2 linked regions of the Nothobranchius furzeri genome follow. The protein of the gene in region 1 interacts with the protein of each later gene in a pairwise test. Links are inferred from orthologs where the notes say so. Each region holds a gene or a part of one and is shown on either strand. Other genes may lie near its edges.

Region 1 (10,236 bases):
TTACCAACCTGTCGCCGCAGACGGGATTGGACATGCGCAATTCTCATTACCATAATTCCTGAACCGTTCAAGATATCATTAAAATTCTAAAAGTGCTGAAAAGATTAAAAATGGGGCTTTTGGTGCATATACAATATATTACGGTAGCCACCAGGATTCCCTGTCTTGAGCGCAACGAATCACAACACAGATTCAGAGACGTGCTGAGTTTGTTATCCAAAATGCTCCGTTTTATAACTTTTGAATGGCTGATCAGATTCAAATAATTCCAACGGTTCCTAAAAGTACATAAAAGCAGCTTTCCAACAATCTATAGCACGAAGCAATCAGTTATGGAAAATGTCGCTACGAGGGGAAATCCTGCTGTACAGCCTGATTGAAACGGAGTACAGCGCAGAGGTGAAAGCAGATAACGGAACGGGGAATCTAATTAGCATAAAAAGCCGGAATGAAATTATGGAAATTCCTCAAAAAAATCTATGCGATCTAATACGTGTCCAAGAAGGCTTTTATCTGAAGTCAGTGACCACGAAGAACGACAGGTCTCCAGTGAACCAGGGTATGAACCTTTGTTCAGTCTTTATTTTTTTATTTGAACAACCCTCAACTATTTGCTCAGCTTCATTCCAGCATTATTTATCTTTTTACAATAAATAATTATTTTTGCTAAAACAAAAGTTTTTGGTATAGCAGTGCACGGTGTGCAAGAGAAGCACCCCATGGCAGTGTGAGGTGTGCAGGACTCTGCCTGCAGCTGGAGAGAAACTGCTTCAAGTCTACCACATCAAATAAAAACGTCTGAAAGTTTACAAAACTAAATGGTCTTAAAAACTGCTGAAAAAGAAACCAAGGTTCAAACTTTTTTCAGAATAGATGCAATACAGTTCAAAGTTTAAATTGTCCATTCCAGAGGTTCGGGGAGCCGTCAGGCTGAAGAAGGAGGCCTACAGGGCGTGGCTGGTCTGTGGGTCTCCGGAGGCAGCAGACAGGTACCGGATAGCCAAGCGGGGTGCAGCAGTGGCAGTTGCCGAGGCAAAATCTCGGGCGTGGGAGGAGTTTGGTGAGGCCATGGAGAAAGACTATCGATCGGCTCCAAAGAGGTTCTGGCAAACTGTCCGGCGCCTCAGGAGAGGAAGGCAGCAACTCGCTCACACTGTTTACAGTGGGGATGGGGAGCTGCTGACGTCAACTGAGGCTATAGTCGGACGGTGGAAGGAATACTTTGAGGAGCTCCTCAATCCCACCAATGCGCATTCCGAGGAGGAACCAGAGCTGGGAGGCCTGGGGATGGACTGTCCGATCTCGGGGGCAGAAGTTGCTGAGGTAGTCAAACAACTACACAGCGGCGGAGCCCCGGGGCCGGATGAGGTTCGTCCTGGGTATCTCAAGGCTATGGATGTTGTAGGGCTGTCATGGTTGACACGTCTCTACAACATTGCGTGGTCATCGGGGGCAGTTCCTAGGGAGTGGCAGACCGGGGTGGTGGTCCCCATCTTTAAGAAGGGTGACCTGAGGGTGTGTTCCAACTATAGGGGGATCACACTCCTCAGCCTCCCTGCAAAGGTCTATGCCAAGGTACTGGAGAGGAGGGTCCGATCGATAGTTGAATCTCAGATAGAGGAGGAGCAATGTGGTTTTCGTCCTGGCCGTGGAACTGTGGACCAGCTCTATACCCTTGCAAGGGTGATGGAGGGGGCATGGGAGTTTGCCCAACCAATCCACATGTGCTTTGTGGATTTGGAGAAGGCTTATGACCGTGTCCCCAGGGGCACCCTGTGGGGGACGCTCCAGGAGTATGGGGTGGGTGGCTTTCTGTTAAGGGCCATTCAGTCCCTTTACCAGAGGAGCGTGAATTTGGTCCGCATAGCCGGTAGTAAGTCGGACCTGTTCCCAGTGAGGGTTGGACTCCGCCAGGGCTGCCCTTTGTCACCGGTTCTGTTCATCACTTTTATGGACAGAATTTCTAGACGCAGCCGTGGTGTGGAGTGTGTCAAGTTTGGTGGCAGGAGAATCTCGTCTCTGCTTTTTGCGGATGATGTGGTCCTCCTAGCTTCATCCAGCTCTGACCTTCAGCTCTTGCTGGGTAGGTTCGCGGCCGAATGTGAAGCGGCTGGGATGAGGATCAGCACCTCCAAATCTGAGACCATGGTTCTCGACCGGAAAAGGGTGGCTTGCCACCTCCGGGTCGGGGGAGAGGTCCTACCTCAAGTGGAGGAGTTTAAGTATCTCGGGGTCTTGTTCACGAGTGAGGGTAGGAGGGATCGGGAGATCGACAGGCGGATTGGTTCGGCGTCTGCAGTGATGCGGACACTGAGCCGATCTGTCGTGGGGAAGAGGGAGCTGAGCCAGAAAGCCAGGCTCTCGATTTACCAGTCGATCTACGTCCCAATCCTCACCTATGGTCATGAGCTTTGGGTAATGACCGAAAGAACGAGATCGCGGATACAAGCGGCCGAAATGAGTTTCCTCCGTAGGGTGGCCGGGCTCAGCCTTAGAGATAGGGTGAGGAGCTCGGACATTCGGGAGGGACTCGGAGTAGAACCGCTGCTCCTCCGGATCGAAAGGAGCCAGTTGAGGTGGTTTGGGCATCTGGTCAGGATGCCTCCTGGACGCCTCCCCGGGGAGGTGTTTCGGGCATGTCCTGCCGGCAGAAGGCCCCCGGGTCGACCCAGGACACGTTGGAGAGGTTACATCTCCAATCTGGTCCGGGAACGCCTTGGGGTCCTGCCGGAGGAGCTGGTGGACAAGGCCGGGGAGAGGACGGCCTGGAGCTCCCTAATTGGGATGCTGCCCCCGCGACCCGGACCCGGATAAGCGGAGGAAGACGAAGACGACAAATTGTTTGCCCAGTAATTTTGAAGTTCCTGTTCAGTAATAAATGTAAAAAATTCAAATCCGTTTTTTGCTTTTTTCACTTTTAAGCTGATTTTTTAAAGGCTTTAAAAGAAATAAATTCTAAACACAAACCATACACTGAAAGCTGAGGTTGTTCTGAAAAAAGGAGAACACTTTGCAATTTTTTTATTACAATTTTACAGCCTTAAGAAAAAATACCAGGGAGCCCTGTTATAATTATGGTCATAAGAGGGTTATTAAGACACCGATGCACAAACAGGAAGTGATTGGTAGTCATTCAACTCCAATCCAGTTGGTGGCGGTAATGCACCAAATTGTTGTTTGCCAAGTGGCATAAGACCACAAATAATAAGAAGAGAGGCGGGAGTGCTCGTAAGAAATTCAAAGCAATAGTCAAAACATTAAGCATGAAACTGAGTTATCCTAGTGGCTCCAATAAGAGAAAGCAGCAGCTTGCTTCATAAAAGCTTTTATTTTCTCTTCTGAAAGTGGCGTCGTTTTTCGATGTAAACATCAGGAAGCAGAAAAGGAAAGACAATGGAAAATGTTTAAAGGGAGGAAAACACAGACCAAAATGGAAAATAGAAAAAAAAAATAACTAAGGCTAAAGCACAGGAGCACTGACAGGAAGAAGAAAGCAGAGCAAATATTGAAAGCGCTCAAAGGGAGAGAAGTACAGGAAAAAAGAGGAGGACTAATAAAAAGGGAAAATAACTCATGTCAGAAGAGGGGAGTTTTGCAAATCTAGTTAAAGGTAAGATTGTCAAAAATTTTGTGTAAAGGGCCCCATGTCTGTGTTCGCCTTGGGCCCCCAAATTGCTAAATCCGCCACTGCCCGAAGGACCCCAACACACCATTTAAGTGTTTTATATTTGAAGTTCAATAAATATTAAGAGATTTATTGACTTGTGTAATTTAAATTGCACAGTGAGTGGTAACTTCTTCACAATCAATGTGCTGCTAAAACATGTATGTGTGTGTGTGTGTGTGTGTGTATATATATATATATATATATATATATACACACACACACACACACACACATATATATATATATATATATATATATATATATGTGTGTGTGTGTGTGTGTGTGTATATATATATATATATATATATATATATATATATATATACACACACACACACACACATATATATATATATATATATATATATATATATATATACATATATATAGTCGACCATCTGCAACAAAATTCTTTAAAAAAAATCGGTATTGGCCTTAAAAAACACATCGGTCGGTCTCTGCTTTAAACACTGAATGTGGTGCACAGTCTCTGGTTATGAGTCATTCTGGAAAAGACACTCTTCCTGCTCATCTCCAACCTTCAAATTTGAGATAAATAAAAATGTTTTAGGTAGGTTTGGTTTGCCACTGAGATGATTGAATCCTTTGCTAGTGACAGAAATCTGATTTCCAACAAAGCACGTGGATTTTGACCAGCTAAAATCCAAAATGAACACGCTGGTTCTCTGAAAAACAAGTTAGTGCAGATCTGAGAAACTAGGCAGACTGTATTTTTAGCTTTTAGGACACGTGTCAGACACAAGGCGCATTTTTATGTGGCCCGCAAGATAAATTTCAAAAATATATTAAAATTGACCCGCTGGCCAATTTTACCTAAAAGACTATAACTCCCATGATGTTTTGCGGCGTTAGCACGGAGCTGAAGCGCCCCCTCCTTTGTGTTTTTTCCAACGTCTGCAGCTCCGCTGTCACGGATAAAGTAAACACTCCTCTCACTCAGAGCCGAGTTTACTCAGCTATTTGCCAACATTGAAGCCCAGAAACAGAGATTTTAACCACTCAGTAATGTGTTCACGACTGAAAGAGAAAGTTTACCAACTAACTTCCAGAGCTGATATAACTGCTGTAGTTTTTATTTTTCCTCCCCGACACATAACGTGGTAAAGCTGCTCAGACGCTCTCCATGTTCAGCAGCACAAACCTATGTGAGCACCTGTTGTCATCTAATGTTGTCATTATTATGATGAAGATGAACAAAAAAACAGGAGTCTCCTCCTCAGCTCAGATCAACCCCATGATGCAGGTATCTGGCTGGAACAGGTGAGCATCACAGTAAACCAGCGGAGCAAACTGAGCTTTAAATATGTTGGTTTTATGCTCTTTTTCTGCTCCAAAACATGAAAGTTAACAGGTGAGATGTTGCATTTTCATTTAAGATAAAATGAGTTTTATTTTGTTGTTGGCCCGTGAAAATCCCTTTATTGTTCCTCAGTGGGGAAAGCTAGACGTCACAGCAGCGATGAAACTTATTACAGGAGAAAAAAGGAGAATAAAACACAAGAAAAATGAATAAACAAGAAAACATAAATCCTGAATAGATTTTTAAAATGCTGATTATACCACAAGTAATGAATACCACTGATGTATTTTATTTAAAACTGACTTGCTCGTTTGTAATTTGGTTATTCCACATTCAGTGTTAATGCAGAAATAAGTTTGTTTCTAAATTAAAAGGTTCACAATTGCATATATGTTGATAAAGAAAATGTGCAAATTTGCCGTCACTTTTTCAAAAAATATTAAGTTTGGCCCTCGACTCCGTCCCAGTTTCATTTCAGCCCCGTGTGAATTTGAGTTTGACACCCATTTTAGAACATTTATCATTCACAAAAAAAAGAGAGAAGGCTGCTCTCTGCAAGACTAAGTCCACTAAAGGAAAGAAATATCCTGCATTAAATGTTACTTCCAAGTGTTTCTATAGCAACCATTTTTGGGAGCAAAGCTGGATGTTTTTAAGACTTAACTTGAAGCAGTGTGTCCCACAAACCCCAAATGTAATTCTATTGTGAGCATCTTTTTAATCCTTCCTTCACAGATTTTAAGTCTTGTTCATTTTGTTTCATCTGCAGCCAGTTACAATCTTGCTTGCACATAAGTCTGCATCTGCTTTCCTATTGGCAACCAACCATGAGTTGTTTAAACACTGTTTATACTAACAAACTCATAGTAATGTGGCTCTTTCTGTGAAGGCATAAATATGAGTTTCTACACAACGGCCAGAGTCCGGACTTGAGGATCACCGTGTACCCAGCACGCATCGGAGTGGCTCTCGACTACGACGGGGGAACGCTATCATTCTTCAATGCAAACCTGGGGCAACATTTGCACACCTTCCACTGTCACTTTCAAAACTATGTCCACCCTTGTTTTAGCCTGGACAGCCCAGGAGCACTCACGGTCCACAACGGCATCCAAGCTCCCGAGTACACACTCATCTAATAGAAAGCGTCTCTTCCCAACATACGGGGGAAAAAATAAACGCGCTAAACGAATGTTTCTGATGTTGACCATTATGAATGTTATTAAACAATGTTTAAACACATTTGGTAAACTCCCAACTCAAATGAATCAGTAGAGACAGTTTTAGGCGTTTTATTATAGTATTCCATGGGAACAGGCATACACCATTTTCCAAGATAAGAAAAGATTTAACTGGATTTTATATGTATTTAAACCATCTGTTGCAGCAAGATGGGATGGGACTTAAAAAGGGCCTTTTAAGTAACAAAAGATGAATAGAAAAAGAAAAAGAAAAAAGTTTGGTAATTTACATCTGAATTCACATGTTGAAACGGGAAAAGTCCACCCTGTACTTCCATAATTAAAGTGTCCGCTGATGTGCTTATAAAGCTTTTTCTCTCCTAGTCTAAAGAGAATTTGGGCATAATTTAGGGTCAGATAAAAACAAAGAAAAAGTGAAGCTTCAACAATGATGAACATAAGACAAATTAGAAAAAAAAAGAAGATGATTTGAGTTTTCTAAAAACGTCACCTGCAACACTGTCAAATGAAAAGCGACTGCAAAATGAGTTGTTTGCAAATAAATGCACACCGAGGTTGAATGAGCTGGTGGGTAAATGTACATATCTCTACAAATGAACATCAGTTTAAGGCTCCCCTCTGGACAGGTTAAAAGCTACTTGTACCAGTAAACATTCTGTGATTCAGGATAACTGAAACACAGAAATGAAAAAAAAAAAAAAAAAAATGTATTTTTTCTAAGATTTTTAAAAAATCTCGTAGTTCAGAAAATGACAGAAATAAGCTTACACATCCCAAAAAGCTTAAAGTCCATAACAACGTATGGTCATGTAAGGGTGGACTTTTCTGAAGAGTTGGAGAATTGTGTGGATTTGCTGGATGTGTGGATATCTTGGGACGGGGGGGTAGGGCTGGCAGAAGTTATGAGTTTTCTGTCTTACTGCTGCGTGTCCTCTCCTCCTCTTCATCTGAGGAATCTCCTCCATAGGGCACAAGCCCAGAAGCATTTAGGTTCACTCTAGTCTTCTTCACACACACCTCGTCTGGAACATCTGGAAGGTCACAAGAAAAAAGACAAGAGAAAAAAAAAACAGGGAAGTGGGAGACATGAAAGAAGAGAGGGATGGGGTCAGAGAGAGAGAGAGCAAAACCAAATGGAAACCCATTGAGGAGCCCCACATAAGCGGTGGTTTTTCAGTGCGTTTGATCCAGAGCCAGGAGGGAAGATATCAAATCAAACGGCAGCAGAGCACACATCCATTATAGGCACGTCCGGGGACACATGTTGAGAGAGAAAACAAGGGAAAGACAAAAAACATATACAAGAAGAGCGCATTAGTGAGTTCCATCAGTGGTGGGATTCATACAGGTCTCCACTCCTCCCCCATTGCTCCATGGGAGGAGACGCTACGTCATGCAATAGACAGCTCCACAGCAGAAACATCCCGAGTTCTCAGGACTCTCAGAACATTTGAAAATGAAGGAACGCATACCCAATGATGCGGCGCTGATGGGAAGGCTAGCCGGTTCTTCTATCACAACTTCTCTCTCTCTTTTGCGTAAAGCTGGAGCAGGAGCAGGTGAAGTAGGAGGAGGAGGAACAGGGGCCACAAAGACAGGCGGTGGTGGAGGCATCAGTATTCTAAAAAAAAATATATATATATATATATATAAACATTTTTTATTTACACCAAAATGGATTTGAAAATGATACAAGTGAGACTAAAACATATCAACAGACCTTTCTACTACCGTTTCCGCCATGACTCCAGTTGAAGGAAGAGTTGACTCCAGATGAGCAGGACACTCTGGAAAGCAGCTCTTAGGCTACAGGGAAATTTATATTAAATTTAATTTAAAAAAGACATTTTAAAAATGTACCAAAAACAATATAAAACCTCCTGGCTTTAGAATATTTTATCGACTGCTAAGAACATGAAGTCTGAATACTTTTTTATTTTTAGCTCTGCTTAAAACAAAAAGCTACTTTCGACACCGGCTCGTTTCCAGTAACATTTGGGGTTTTAATATTAACATTTTTTCCTGAGAATCATAAAATCTGGGAGAGCGTATAACAAAAGCTCAGCTGATGACCAAAGCAAATGTTTTAAAGCTGGACCGTAAACGGCGTGGTTGGTCAGTCAGAATGCACCATAACCAATACGCTAACCTTTACTAGGACATCTTCAATGTGTTATTTTAGTGTGAAAAGAATGATTGCAATAATGAAAATGGGTGTAAAACAGCAGATGTGTAATAAGTTACTGAAGGAAAACATCTGTGTGCCTCTCTGTTCCACATTAATGGTAGAAATCAGTGCTCCAGCTAACCTCTTCATCCTTATCCCCTTCTTGGGAATGCTGTTTGGGACTTCCTGAGTCAGGGGGGATGTTTAAAGATGCCCCAGGCTCCATCGTGTCACTGTTGCCTGGATCCTTAATAAGTAGAGCACAACCAACTTATATACACACACACTGATTCAGCCAAGAAAATAATCTCATTACAACTCACTAAAGGAGTTGAAAGGTTTTTATGTTTTTGGCGTGAAACAGAAACTAGAATTCAGCAACTAACACTTAAGCCGTAGTAATCACCTGGACAATATAGGGATGTGGTTTCCTTGGACACATTGGATACTGAACCATGCCTTGGGAAGATGAAGTGTTTGTTGATGTGTTGGATTGACATGGAGGACCATCGGTATTACTCCAATAAGCACCGGCTCCAGGATATGCTGCGTATCCTCCAGTATACCCGTTTGCTGGGTAGGTATACCAGGACGCCTGGCTAGAGTAGCTGCTATTGGATGGATACCCATGTGCTGCATATGCTGAAAGGACAGTTAAAATTTTAATTAATGTAAAACACCACACGGATCTAACTATTTCAACAAACTGCGGAGCCACAACTAAACTTTAAGAGGGGATGCATTAATCAAAAGAAGAATGCAGCCATTCCACAGCTGATATTTGGTCAACTTGTTTGAGCATACCCATCTCTTTAATATATGTAATAAAATACTCACGTTGTGTTGAGCCTGTGGCTGTGTACACCGACACCATTTGGGCATGCTCGGCTCTCACCTGGAGAACAAGAGAAAACAAGAACTAATTCATAAGCAAGGCAAATCCCACAAAGGCTTCATTGATTCATTCCAAGTAATGGGATTGTGGGTAGGTGCAGAGCACTCGAGATCTATCACTGGAGATCTGGTGGTTCACACTACCACATTCAATATTGGAGGTGGGTATCAGTGAAAACTATACGCTTGAGCAGTTTCACCTTCTTTTACCTCCTAAGAGATTAAGGGCTAGTTCAGATAAACTCAATAACACTTCTCCTACAGTGGAAATATCACCAACTTACAGTTTCCAACAGACTCTCAGTGAGTTTCTTTGCTGACTCCAGCCCAACTGCATTTGGGTGGCTGCAACACACAAAGAACTATTGTTGAAAAATGAAGCAGACTTGACACACACACACACAAAAAGAACATTTACTATATGATGCACAGATCCTTGAAGTGGGCCATGACCAAAACATACATCTTTTTATGCCTCTAAAAATACTTCTGAACATGAAAAGTTACAGGTTTTCATTGGTTTAAAGAAACATCAATAAACATACCTGATGTACACATAAAGAGGCTCAAAAGACTCTCGTTTGGATGCTTGTTCAATGTAACCAGACCCTTTTCCTCTGAGGAAGACCCGAGCCCCCGTCTCTGTCTGGATATGACTCAGATACGAACCTCCTTGACCCTCAACCTTCTCCTTTACATTGAATGAAGGCAATGCTTGGTCCAGACCCACAAATATCTTTGTGTGCACAAAACTCTAAAGATAAAGCAAACAGCCGATCAACTTCTACAATCATGTAGGTGTACAACGTATCTATTTGGCATTAGAATGTATTTGTTAGCAAATGCAGTCATCCAGGGCTTGTCTCTGTACACCATGGATGTTCTCTCTGCTAATTTCTCTTGGAGGTAAGTATCAGTGAAGGCAACCAGCTTCATTTGCCTCACTTTCTTAACCCCCGTATGTAAAATACTGCCTGTGGCTAAA
Region 2 (10,639 bases), on another chromosome or scaffold:
CAGCACAGCTGTACCTAATAAAGTGGCTGATGAGAACGTATCATGTATGAGGACGTCGTATTAAAAATTGGCGTACAGTCAAAAAACGAAACAAAAAGAGTTAAAGTAGAAAAAACAGGAGAAAGGATTTTCTTTGCTGTCTAAAGAATCACCTGAGTTGAAGAATGTAATGCATTTGTTCACTTTTGAATGTTTCACTGTGACTGAGTCCGATTTATTTTATTTGAGTTATTCAAGTTGTCACTTAACAATTTTTCTCAATTTTCCCCTTTGCCTGACTCACACCGTCTTAATCTCCAGGGCAGTGGTCCTGCGCCTAGTGAGCTTAGGCATCCTTCTCTTCACCCTGTGTAGTCAGATCACCTGTAGCGGGAACGCAGAAGCGTCTGCGTGTCAGCAGTGCCGATACGATCATGAAAAATACCCGGTAAATATGTCTATGCATACATTTGTAGCTAAAAGCATAGAAAAGTGGAGTCCAGAGTCTCAGGTGTAAATTATACAACAGTTTTATAGCCATTGGCGGCTCATCCATAGGGGGCTCTGCCCTCCATGACTTGGAAGGAAAAGGAAAAAATCTGGAAAAGTAAAGAAAATACTACAATATATAATCATATAGTTACTATATATGTGTCGGGATAGCCTACATGCATTTTGAATGGTTTGCTCGTCATTTTCACCAGCTGTCTCTCATTAAACAGAGAATTTTCTCCACCAGACTCACTTGTTTCCCTCCAGGGGCGCTGGGAAAAGTGCCCCTAAACTGCAGCTAAACAGCCAGTCACATTTGGTTGCTAGAGAGAACTTGAGAATTTGGGGCCAATCAGCATCAGTGAATTTAATGTCTCTGGGGCGCTGCCTGACACAGCTAGCTAGCATGGTGCTGAATCTCATTTTCACTCTCTCACTTCCTCATTCACACACATTCACTGTTGGCTTTATATAGAGCTGAAATCCTAGCTATGTCCATCCATCCATCCATCCATCCCTTATCCACTGCTCATCCGGAGTCGGGTCGCGGGGGCAGCAGCTTAAGCAGAGAGGCCCAGACTTCCCTCTCCCCAGCCACTTGGACTAGCTCCTCCGGGGGAATCCTAAGGCGTTCCCTGGCCAGTTGAGAGACATAGTCCCTCCAGCGTGTCCTGGGTCTGTCGTTTGGTTTTCTCCTGGTTGGACGTGCCTGGAAAACCTCTTCAGGGAGGTGTCCAGGAGGCCTAAAGGTTGGTTTATGCTTGACACGTCCGTGAGGTCCGCACGGCTCCGCGCGGAAAAGTTGCGTCATTTTGCGTCATTTTAACAACCAGGCCCCTCCACCGCGCCTCCGCACGAACCAGAATTTCCACAACGCGCACCTCGGAAAATTTCTAACCACGCGGACGGACGGACACGGAAAAACATGGTGGATCGGCAAGAACTAGTACGGCAGAGGTTTGTAAATACAGACATTTGTATGATTCAGCTCTCAGAGATCACCGTGATCAACATGTTAATAATTCTTGGAGAGAAATAGCTCGCACTGTCGGAAAAGACGAGGACGCTGTTAAAAAAGCTGGAATGCCATGTTGTAAACAACAGTAATTTTTACTTCTACTACGGTGTAGTGTTGGATGCATGCCGTAGAGCTCCATGCTGCCCCCTACAGTTTGGGAGAATATTGGCTCACCGCAGAGACGAGCCGCATGAACCATAAACGCTGCGAGTTGTGAAGCGCGTTCCATCCGCGAGCCGCATCACCGCGTGGAAAGTGAATGCGTCAAGCATAAACCAAGCTTTACCCTTTAGCTGTGTTTGTTTGTTCACATGTTATGTTGTGTTATTGCCACCTACTGGCCAAACTGAGGATTTTGCTTTGAGCCCTTAAATTCTCACATACATTGTTTGTTTTGGAATTGTAGTCATTTTTCAACTGTTCATTTTAAAACTTATCGTGAAGAAATACTTCACATATAGCACCTGAACGCTTCTGCAGCTTAGAGCAACAAGTAAAAGACGACGTTCTGGTGCTTGGGCCAGGTTTTCTATACTTTACCGTAAAAAGGGACTTGATTGTTGCACTACCAGGATGCATGGCATTAAAAGATGCATTATTCTTATCTTTTCCTGTCCCCCTGTGACGTAGTGCTGGGAAACCCGTGTAGGACAGGAGATGTACAAACTCATGCTGTTTGACCTGCTGGTAAACATCGCTCTGCTCGTGCTTGTCGAGTTTCCACGCAGGTACAAAACCAAGTTTCAGACATGGAAGGCGGTTTGGGATTTACAGCATATACGCCGTAGGATATGAGGTGTTTGTGTTTTCTTGTGTGTGTCAGGATTGTGGTGGACAACTGGTCCTGTAAGCTGTCTCAGCTGGTGGGCCGCCAGGAGTTCGTTGTCCCTTCCAACGTCCTCGGGCTTGTTTATGGTCAGACGGTGGTCTGGGCTGGAGCTCTGTTCTGCCCTCTGCTGCCTCTCATGAACACCATTAAATTTGTCATCCTCTTTTACTGCAAGAAGGTGAAGAATTTAACATAAAACTTGTTTTTTTCCCTCTCACATACATTATAATTATTTGTATTAGTGATGATATTGTGTTTGCGTGTCCACAGATCACACTCTTCCACAACTGTCGGCCAGCGCTGAAGACGTTTCGGTCCACCACCTCCACCTTCTTTTTCCTGGTGGTGCTTCTGTTTGGCTGGACGTTGGCCCTGGTTGTTATGATTTACAGCCTTGCTGTGTGAGTGCTGACTGCTGCAGATTTATCCTTAATATTTCCAACAAAACAGCGTTTTAGAAAGTCAGAACAGTCAGGGCATCACTAAACACTTTAAGAAGGATTCTTTCCACCTCTCCAAACAGGATCAACCCTTCGATGGCGTGTGGGCCTTTCCGCTTCTTCCCCTCCATGTGGAAGATTGTTCCAAACTCTTTCTACTGTCTCTCTAAAGTTACACAGGATTTTCTCTTCTTCATTGGCTCACAGGCATTTTCCATACCTCTTTTTGCTTTATCATGGTGAGTGTGCATTTGTGAAATATTTATTATTTATTAGATTTAATCTACAGATTATCACAGTGCCTTTTTTCCTCTCTGCCAGCGTGATTATGTGCTATTTTGTAGCATTAGCTTCCATCTATGGAAAAAGTGTTGAGATGCTCAAAGCTCAGCTTAAGTTGGTATGTTGTTCCTACTTACAAAGATCAAGGATCATTTGTATAATATCCTCAGTGGTAGCTAATATTGTCCAATGTCATGTCTTTGATTTTCAGGAGGGTCAAGATAAGCAGTTTTTGGTCAAACAGATTGAAAGACTAAAGCTGCAACATCTGATGCCAGCACTAAGAGCAGAAGTACAAGACTGAACACAACCGATGACCACGTTTAGTTTTTCTGACCTAAATAATGAAGTAACTAATATGTCTTCTGGGGGGGAGAAATCTCATTAATCCAGACTAGATCTCATTTGACAATTACTATATTCATTTACAGCGTTTCTGTTGTGAAGCTGAAACAATAAGAGAATTTGTTATTTAAAGTCAGTATAATTTTGATTGTTGTTCTAAACATTAGTGTTGAATTAATAAACATGCACAGAATTTATTTATGATTTTGAGAGGCTATTTTTCTTTTGTATAAAACAACCTCGGGTGCAGAATCACCAAAAATGCTAACAAGAAAGAGCATGCATTTCACAAAATGCTACATTCCAAAGCCAACATATACTTTACCTTTTTGTCCTTTCATAATGAGTACATTGTTTTTGACATCTTTTGGTTATAGCAAAAAATATATATATTTGGGACATACCGGTAAATATTTTTGTGGCACCTGTACAAATACCAGTAGAGTTTCAGCGCCCCCTGGTGTTACATATTGTAATTACATAACACGATTATTGTTTACTTCCTGTTTAACTCTACTACTTCCTGTGAGCGCAACAAACCAGAAGCTACTCCTCCGTTAGCTCGTCATTGATAGCATTTATTATATTTTAGGAAAGTAGTCAACTTAAATAGATAATGTGAGTGAGTAAGGTCCACGTTATTTTCTTCTGCGTCATCACAAAACATTGGCAAGTACTAGCGACCTTCCCTATTTAGCTTAATTTCCTAAAAAGAAAGAAAACAGCGACGCATATTTGATTGTTGGGCGTATTTGAAAAATTCTGCTTCTGTATTTAGACATTTTGTCGAATAACCTGCTTATTTCTACTATACACCAATATATTAACTGACCAGAGTGAGTGTTTTCTCTTGTCGTTAGCTTTCTAAGCTAGCTGACTGCTAATTGTCGGTCACCAAGGCAACCATGAACATCCTCCCGAAGAAGAGTTGGCACGTCCGCAACAAGGACAACATTGCGCGCGTGCGGAGGGATGAAGCCCAGGCAGCAGAAGAGGAGCGCGAGGCCAAGCGTCGCGTGGAGCGAGCAGAGCAAGAGGTAGTCCCCCTCTGGTGTTAGCATGGTCATTCATTAGTCTTCACTCTCTCTCTTTCTTAACATTTTTTTTGAATCACAATTGTCTATTTTTGCTCATTTTAAATATATTTTTAAACATTTTCTAAATGCTTTTTTATTTTTTTACATTTTTGTTTTTGTGAAGTGCCTCGTGATTTTTATCTTTAGAGGCACTATAGAAATTATATTTTCTTCTTCTTCTTAATAAGCGATATAAGTATCATTACTACTGTGGAAAATGTATTTGAGTGCAACACAACTGTAACGCATAGAAAAACCACAAATCAGCCGAATGTACAGGGTACCTGGCACTTTAATTGAAATATTTAAGAAATTAGTTCTGGAAAAATGATCAAAAGTAAACAAAAGAGTTTCACAGATTTTAATCCTGACCATTTAAAACTAAATAAATACAGAAATAAATGTCTTTTGGGGAGAAAGACAAAAGAACCAGTCACACGAAGGTCAGGTGGATGTTTGGAGTTTGGAAAAGTGTAGAAATGTTAAGGTTATAGATGTTAAACAATCTGAATGCCACATGTAGATTAAAACCGCAGCAATGATTTCAGTAATAAGAAAAACTGAAAACATTCTGAGCTTCGTCACGTTCTCTCTCCTCGTTGATTCTATCTAAACCGCTGCGTGCACATATGAGGCAAGAGCACTTTATCATGAGTAACTTTATTACAATAAAGAGCCACAACAATAGTACCACTGTCAAATGTCCCAGACGATACACATAATTCAAAGTTGTATAATTTAGCAAATAATCTGCTTTACACAGTGCTATTTAGGATTTAGTTGCTTTCAGCTTGTTGCAAAAGCTCAGTTAGGTCCTATGTCTTCAGCTGCATTTGCTTACAATCCAAAATAACTATTTATTATTTATATCTTTAGTTTATTCTAACAGCTTTTTGTTTCTACAGGCGCGTACAGAGTATCTGAGAAGGAAATCTCGAGCTGCTCTTCAGTCAGAAGGAGGAAGCAGAGATGATGATGATGAAAAGGAAGGTGGAGGAGGCTTGGAGCACCTCAACCTCTTCCCTTTGGAGGAGTCTTCAGAGAAGAAGGGGAACGAGGAGTATCTTAAAGAAAAGAAAGAGGAAAAGGTGACAGAAAAACCTTAATACATGTGTGGATTATTTATTTTTTGGGGTTTTATATTTGCTTCAGTAACACCTTTTCCAGGGTATCCGCGGGTCCTTAAAAAGTCTTAAATTAGCTTTTCCAAATTTAAGGCCTTAAAAATCCTTAAAAATGACAAATAATCCTTAAATACAGTTTCCAGAGGTCTTAAATTACCAAAGACCCAATAAACAAGATTCTTTTATTTCTATAAAATTTTCATGAATTTCTAGTTAGCGTTCAGCATTTTTGTGTACGATGTTGCCGTAAGCGGAACCGTACACGTTCAGTTGGTTGTGAAAGGGGGCTATTTTTAGATGAGCACGTTAGCTGGTTAAGCTAGTGGGAGCTTGCGCCATGGGGAAGGGCAAGTTTAATGGTAACTGGATGGCTAATCCCATGATCGCGGCGTGGTTAGCACCGGTTCCAGGCAATAGCTGGAAATTATAGCTTAAATGATAAATGACCCGCACTTGTATAGCGCCTGTCAGAGGAAGGACTCCAAAGCGCTTTACACCACAGTGTATCATTGATCCATTCACACACACATTCACACACTGGTGGTGATGAGCTACGATGTAGAGGCGAGGCTGCCGAGCACAGGCGCCACCGGTCCCTCCGACCACCACCAGCAGGCAAGGTGGGTTAAGAGTCTTGCCCAAGGACACAACAGCAGAATTCTCTGTCCGGAGCCAGGATCGAACCTGCAACCTTCCGATTACTGGACAACCCGCTCAACCTGTTGAGCTACCGCTGCCTTGCTTAAATAGCTTAAATTTGGTCAAAGTGGCCTTAAAAAAGGTCTTAAAAAGTCTTAAATTTGTCTCCCTTAAACCTGCAGATACCCTGTTTTCAAAAACCCCTTTGTTTAAATATAATCTGCATCTTCTCATCCAGGAGAAGCAGGAACGCGCCATCGGCCTACTGGTGTCTTTAGGACCCCAGCCAGGCTCTGAGGTGACTCCGTGGTACCTGAAGAGCAGCAAAGACAAAGAAAGTCAAGAGAAAGACAAAAAGAAGGGAATAAGTGAAGAGGAGAAAGAGAAGAAGGATCGGAGGCTGAAGAGTAGTTTGGATCCCCTGAACGAAATGAAGAAAGCTCTAGACGTGTTTGAACGAAAAGTACCTAAAAACAGGAAAAAGGAAAAAAGAGACAAAGTGGAAAAGCAGAGCAGTGGAGAAAGGTGGGATGGGATTTGCTGCTTTACATTTGTGAATCACTCCTCTAGTTCAGACTCTCAGTGGCTTTCATAAGAATATCTCCTGTTTATCTTAGATAAATGCGTCCAGGTTTTTGTCGGGTAACATCCCATCATTCATGATCTGCACTGTGTTTTCCAGCTCCATGGAAAGGTTACGCGCTGAACGTTTACAGAGGGAGGCTGAAGAAAGGAGGAAAACCCAGGCTCTTCTAGAACAGAGGAGTGGTAAAAGGAAGGAGTCAGAAAGAGAACTGAATGACAGAGAACGGCCCTACAACAGCGCCTACTTTCCTGAACTCGCTCGAAAGCGACAAAGGCGAGATCGAGAGAGCTGGAGGGATGAGATTCTTAAGTCCTGAGCTGCGATTTGGTGTTTTTTGGTCGGAGTAAAGAGGAAACATGACGGTAAACTGGAAAAAATGTGAATTTTGTTCAGAAAGCCAGTGATTTAATGCGGTGAACATCTTTACAACTTTTGCTCCCTCGTAGAGTGAAACACGTGCAGGAACATTAGCGGCGCACGAACAGCTGCAGGTTCCTCTGCTCCTGCAGCGTTTCACTCGTGTGTGCATCAGCGGGGCAGATGGTTGCCTTTACAGGGGGCTCAGGCCGTCACCCAGGCAGGGTGTCCGCGGGGTTTTAAAAAGTATTAAAAAGTGATAAATAAAAATAGTCAAATTTAAGGCCATTAAAAGTGTTAAATTTGGTCTCAGAGGTATTATATTTTCCAAATTAGGTATTATTTTTTTCAGACTATCAGATGTCGTATTCTGAACATCGACATAGAAATATATTCCGAATCAAATGTTTTGAACGATTATAAAAACAAAACAAGCCGATTATTTGCTCCTCCCACTTGCGCTGCCTTGAGTTACAAATGAAGCGCTCCTCCCAGTGTTGCCAAGTTAACTTAGCGACTTTGACGCTATTTCTAGCAGCTTTTCAGACCCCCTTCATGACTTTTTAAATCTTAAAAGTACCTAGTGAACACCTCAGAAACATCTCTGGTAACCCTTAGCTACTTTCTGGATAACTGTCGTCGACGTTTCCTGCAGGTTAGCTAAACACTCCGCCTGCGCTCCGGACCGTTCTTCAGGACATTAGGAAAGGGAATGATGCAGTGATGTGTCGGTTGCTAAAGAAACAGCTCTTGGAGCCGGCTCCCTGTTGGAGTAACCAGAGTGAGTGACGCACACACCGCACCTGCGGACTCCTGAGCCGATAAAAACGGCTAAATGTGCGCGTGCGGCGCGCTAAACACACGTGCAGCTTACCCCTGATTGCTGTGAGACCGGGCTGGGGGGTGGGGGTGCAGCTGTGGTTGGGACAATTATTACATTAACTGATGGACCTGTAAATAAATAGTTTATAAATAAGGTAGAAATAAGTTCCTCACGCTGATAAATAATAACTAATCTCTCTGAGGACACGGTGCTTGTGCACTCTCCTACAGCACCTTGAGACACGACTCAATACATGTTATGCAAAATTTTGTGAACATCAATTTGCATGTATTTGTTATAAATGCCACTGTATAATTCTTGCTGTCAGTATTTGCAAGATAATGGTATTTGGGTCTGTACTGGTTAGACTTAAATGAGTTAAACCAAGGTTTATAGCCCTTGGGTCATAAACTATGAGCTATAAGTATATTGGTCTTTTTATACTGGGAATCAGGAGTTATTTTAGTTGTTACGGCTGGAGCCTTTTTGTGTTGTGATTTCATTTTTCTGTGCATTTTATGTTGCATCTGAGGAGCCTGCCTGCAGACTATGTTGGCTCACCCTTGCTCCTCCCTGGACCAGCTGAGCTGGGTTTTCATCAGCCACAAATTGTTTAAAGGACCAGCTGGAGCTCCTCACCAAAGGGGGACAATAGTGCAGAGCTGCATTTCCTCTGGTCTGTTGTCTCCCACTTAGAACTTCGATATTGTGCTCTTACTGTTTGAACCTGTTTTGGTAAAAGTGGATTTAGATCCGTGGTGGTTAAAACCATAATAGTAATCTTTTCTGAATTAAGAGAAAGTAAATAAAACCTTTGTTAATTTTCCTTTGTGTCACGCGTCCTCCATGTTACCCCAGGCCCCCTAGACACCTGGTTGTAACATATGGGGGCTCGTCCGCGATCATTAAGTACCCTTAAACTGAGGCTGGATGCGTGATCATTTGTGTGTATCAGTGTTTTACCAGTTATGGCTACTTTTGATTTAGCGCAGTTTGTGGAGGCCCCATCCCGTGGACTGATTGGTGCCTGTCGCAAGCGGGATCTGCTGGACGTGGCGGATCACTTTGGATTTCAGGTGGACAGCTCAATGTTAAAGGTGGAGCTGCAGGAGGTGGTAATCAGTGGCCTGGAGGACTTGGGCCTGCTTACTCGGCAACAGGCTGCCTCGCCTGCGGAGGCCCGTGTACATGCTGAACCTCCCCTGGCGACCCCGCCCCCTGTCAGCCCTGCAGCACCTGATGACAGAGACAGACTGGTTACAGCTGCTGGAGACGCCGACCCGGCTGACTCTGATGAGGACATGACTCCAGCCGAATTCAGGCTGAGGATTGAGCAACTCCGTTTGGACGCTGAGGACCGAGCCCAGCGCAGACAGCTGGAGTTTGAGATGAGAAAGCTGGAACTGGAAGCTGATACAAAATTGCGGCTCCGCAAACTTGAACTTGAACACGAGGCTGTGAAGGCTGAGAAAGAGACATCTCCGGTGAGTTCCCCACCGCAAGACTCTTTTAATATCAGTAACTGCATGGCGTTGATGCCTGTTTTCAGGGAATCTGAGGTTGACTGCTACTTCTCTGCGTTTGAACGCATCGCAACGGCGCTTAATTGGCCGCGGGATGTGTGGCCTCTTCTGCTGCAGTGCAGATTCACAGGTAAAGCCTCCGAGGTTGTAGCCGCTCTCTCTGTCTCGGATAGCAATAATTATGACACCGTTAAAACTGCAGTTTTACAGGCATATGAGTTGGTGCCAGAAGCCTATCGCCAGAAACTCAGACTTTCCAGGAAAAACTCTGCACAGACACACATAGAGTTTGCTCGAGTAAAAACGGTTTTATTCGATAAATGGTGTAATTCCTCCAAGGTAAAAGACTTTTCTACTTTGCGTGAGCTCCTGCTCCTTGAGGAATTTAAACGCTGCATCCCTGATAAAGTGGTTCAGTATGTAAACGAGCAGAAGGTGACGTCATTGTCTGCTGCAGCGCAGCTCGCGGATGAGTTTGTGTTAACTCACAGGGTGAACTTTGATCCCAACAGAAGACCCTCACCTGGGCCGCCTGCTGAGGCAGACATAACGAATGTCGTTCCTGAACCTGCTCTGTGTTTTTATTGTCACAAGCCTGGTCATGTCATAAAGGACTGTCCCATTCTCCAGGCCAAGAATGTAAGACAAGAACAGCCTGACAATGTTGAGGTTTTTACCTGTTCAGCCCATGTTACTGTTGGGGAACGGGATGTGGGATCCTGTTTTAAGCCATTTGTATTTTCTGGATTTGTTTCATTGTCGGCTGATGATAGGCCTGTACCGATAAAAATCCTGAGGGACACTGGGGCATCTCATTCTCTCATTCTGAGTTCGGCATTACCCTTTTCTGGAAGAAGTGCTTGTGGTTTTAAAGTAGTTGTTAAAGGGATTGCGCCCCTGTCCTTTCAGAGGCCTGTCCATCGTGTGTTTTTAACATCTGATCTCGTCACAGGATATTTTAACATTGCTGTCTGTCGCTCCCTACCAGTGGATGGCGTCGTTCTCCTGTTGGGAAATGACATCGCCGGGGACTTGGTGGTTCCACCTGCCTGGTCAAAACCTCAAGCTAAGGGAGTAGAAAACATGTCAGTTTCTACTCCTAATGGTCTCATTGCAGGAAACAAAA

What was found. The genes of interacting proteins can lie anywhere in the genome.
Region 2: the proteins of fibronectin type III and SPRY domain-containing protein 2 (region 1) and leng1 interact in binary tests that used the Homo sapiens proteins (3 or more experiments, as listed by UniProt). The two-hybrid records come from large-scale screens. The link is inferred for Nothobranchius furzeri from reciprocal best matches to the Homo sapiens genes FSD2 and LENG1.

The regions. Positions count from the first base shown.
Region 1 is NC_091749.1:41,532,854-41,543,089, forward strand, and holds the end of fibronectin type III and SPRY domain-containing protein 2, read left to right. Parts: intron 1-5,877; coding exon 5,878-6,127; 3' UTR 6,128-6,230; downstream 6,231-10,236. Other genes in the region: KH homology domain-containing protein 4, read right to left, coding at 7,091-7,221, 7,663-7,811, 7,911-7,996, 8,500-8,604, 8,764-8,999, 9,195-9,252, 9,536-9,596, 9,797-10,005.
Region 2 is NC_091745.1:76,662,575-76,673,213, reverse strand, and holds leng1 (leukocyte receptor cluster member 1), read left to right. Parts: upstream 1-3,903; 5' UTR 3,904-4,054; intron 4,055-4,245; 5' UTR 4,246-4,290; coding exon 4,291-4,422; intron 4,423-5,366; coding exon 5,367-5,549; intron 5,550-6,462; coding exon 6,463-6,749; intron 6,750-6,906; coding exon 6,907-7,126; 3' UTR 7,127-7,177; downstream 7,178-10,639. Other genes in the region: voltage-gated chloride channel TMC4, read left to right, coding at 301-427, 2,120-2,217, 2,313-2,496, 2,589-2,719, 2,842-2,997, 3,080-3,158, 3,252-3,344.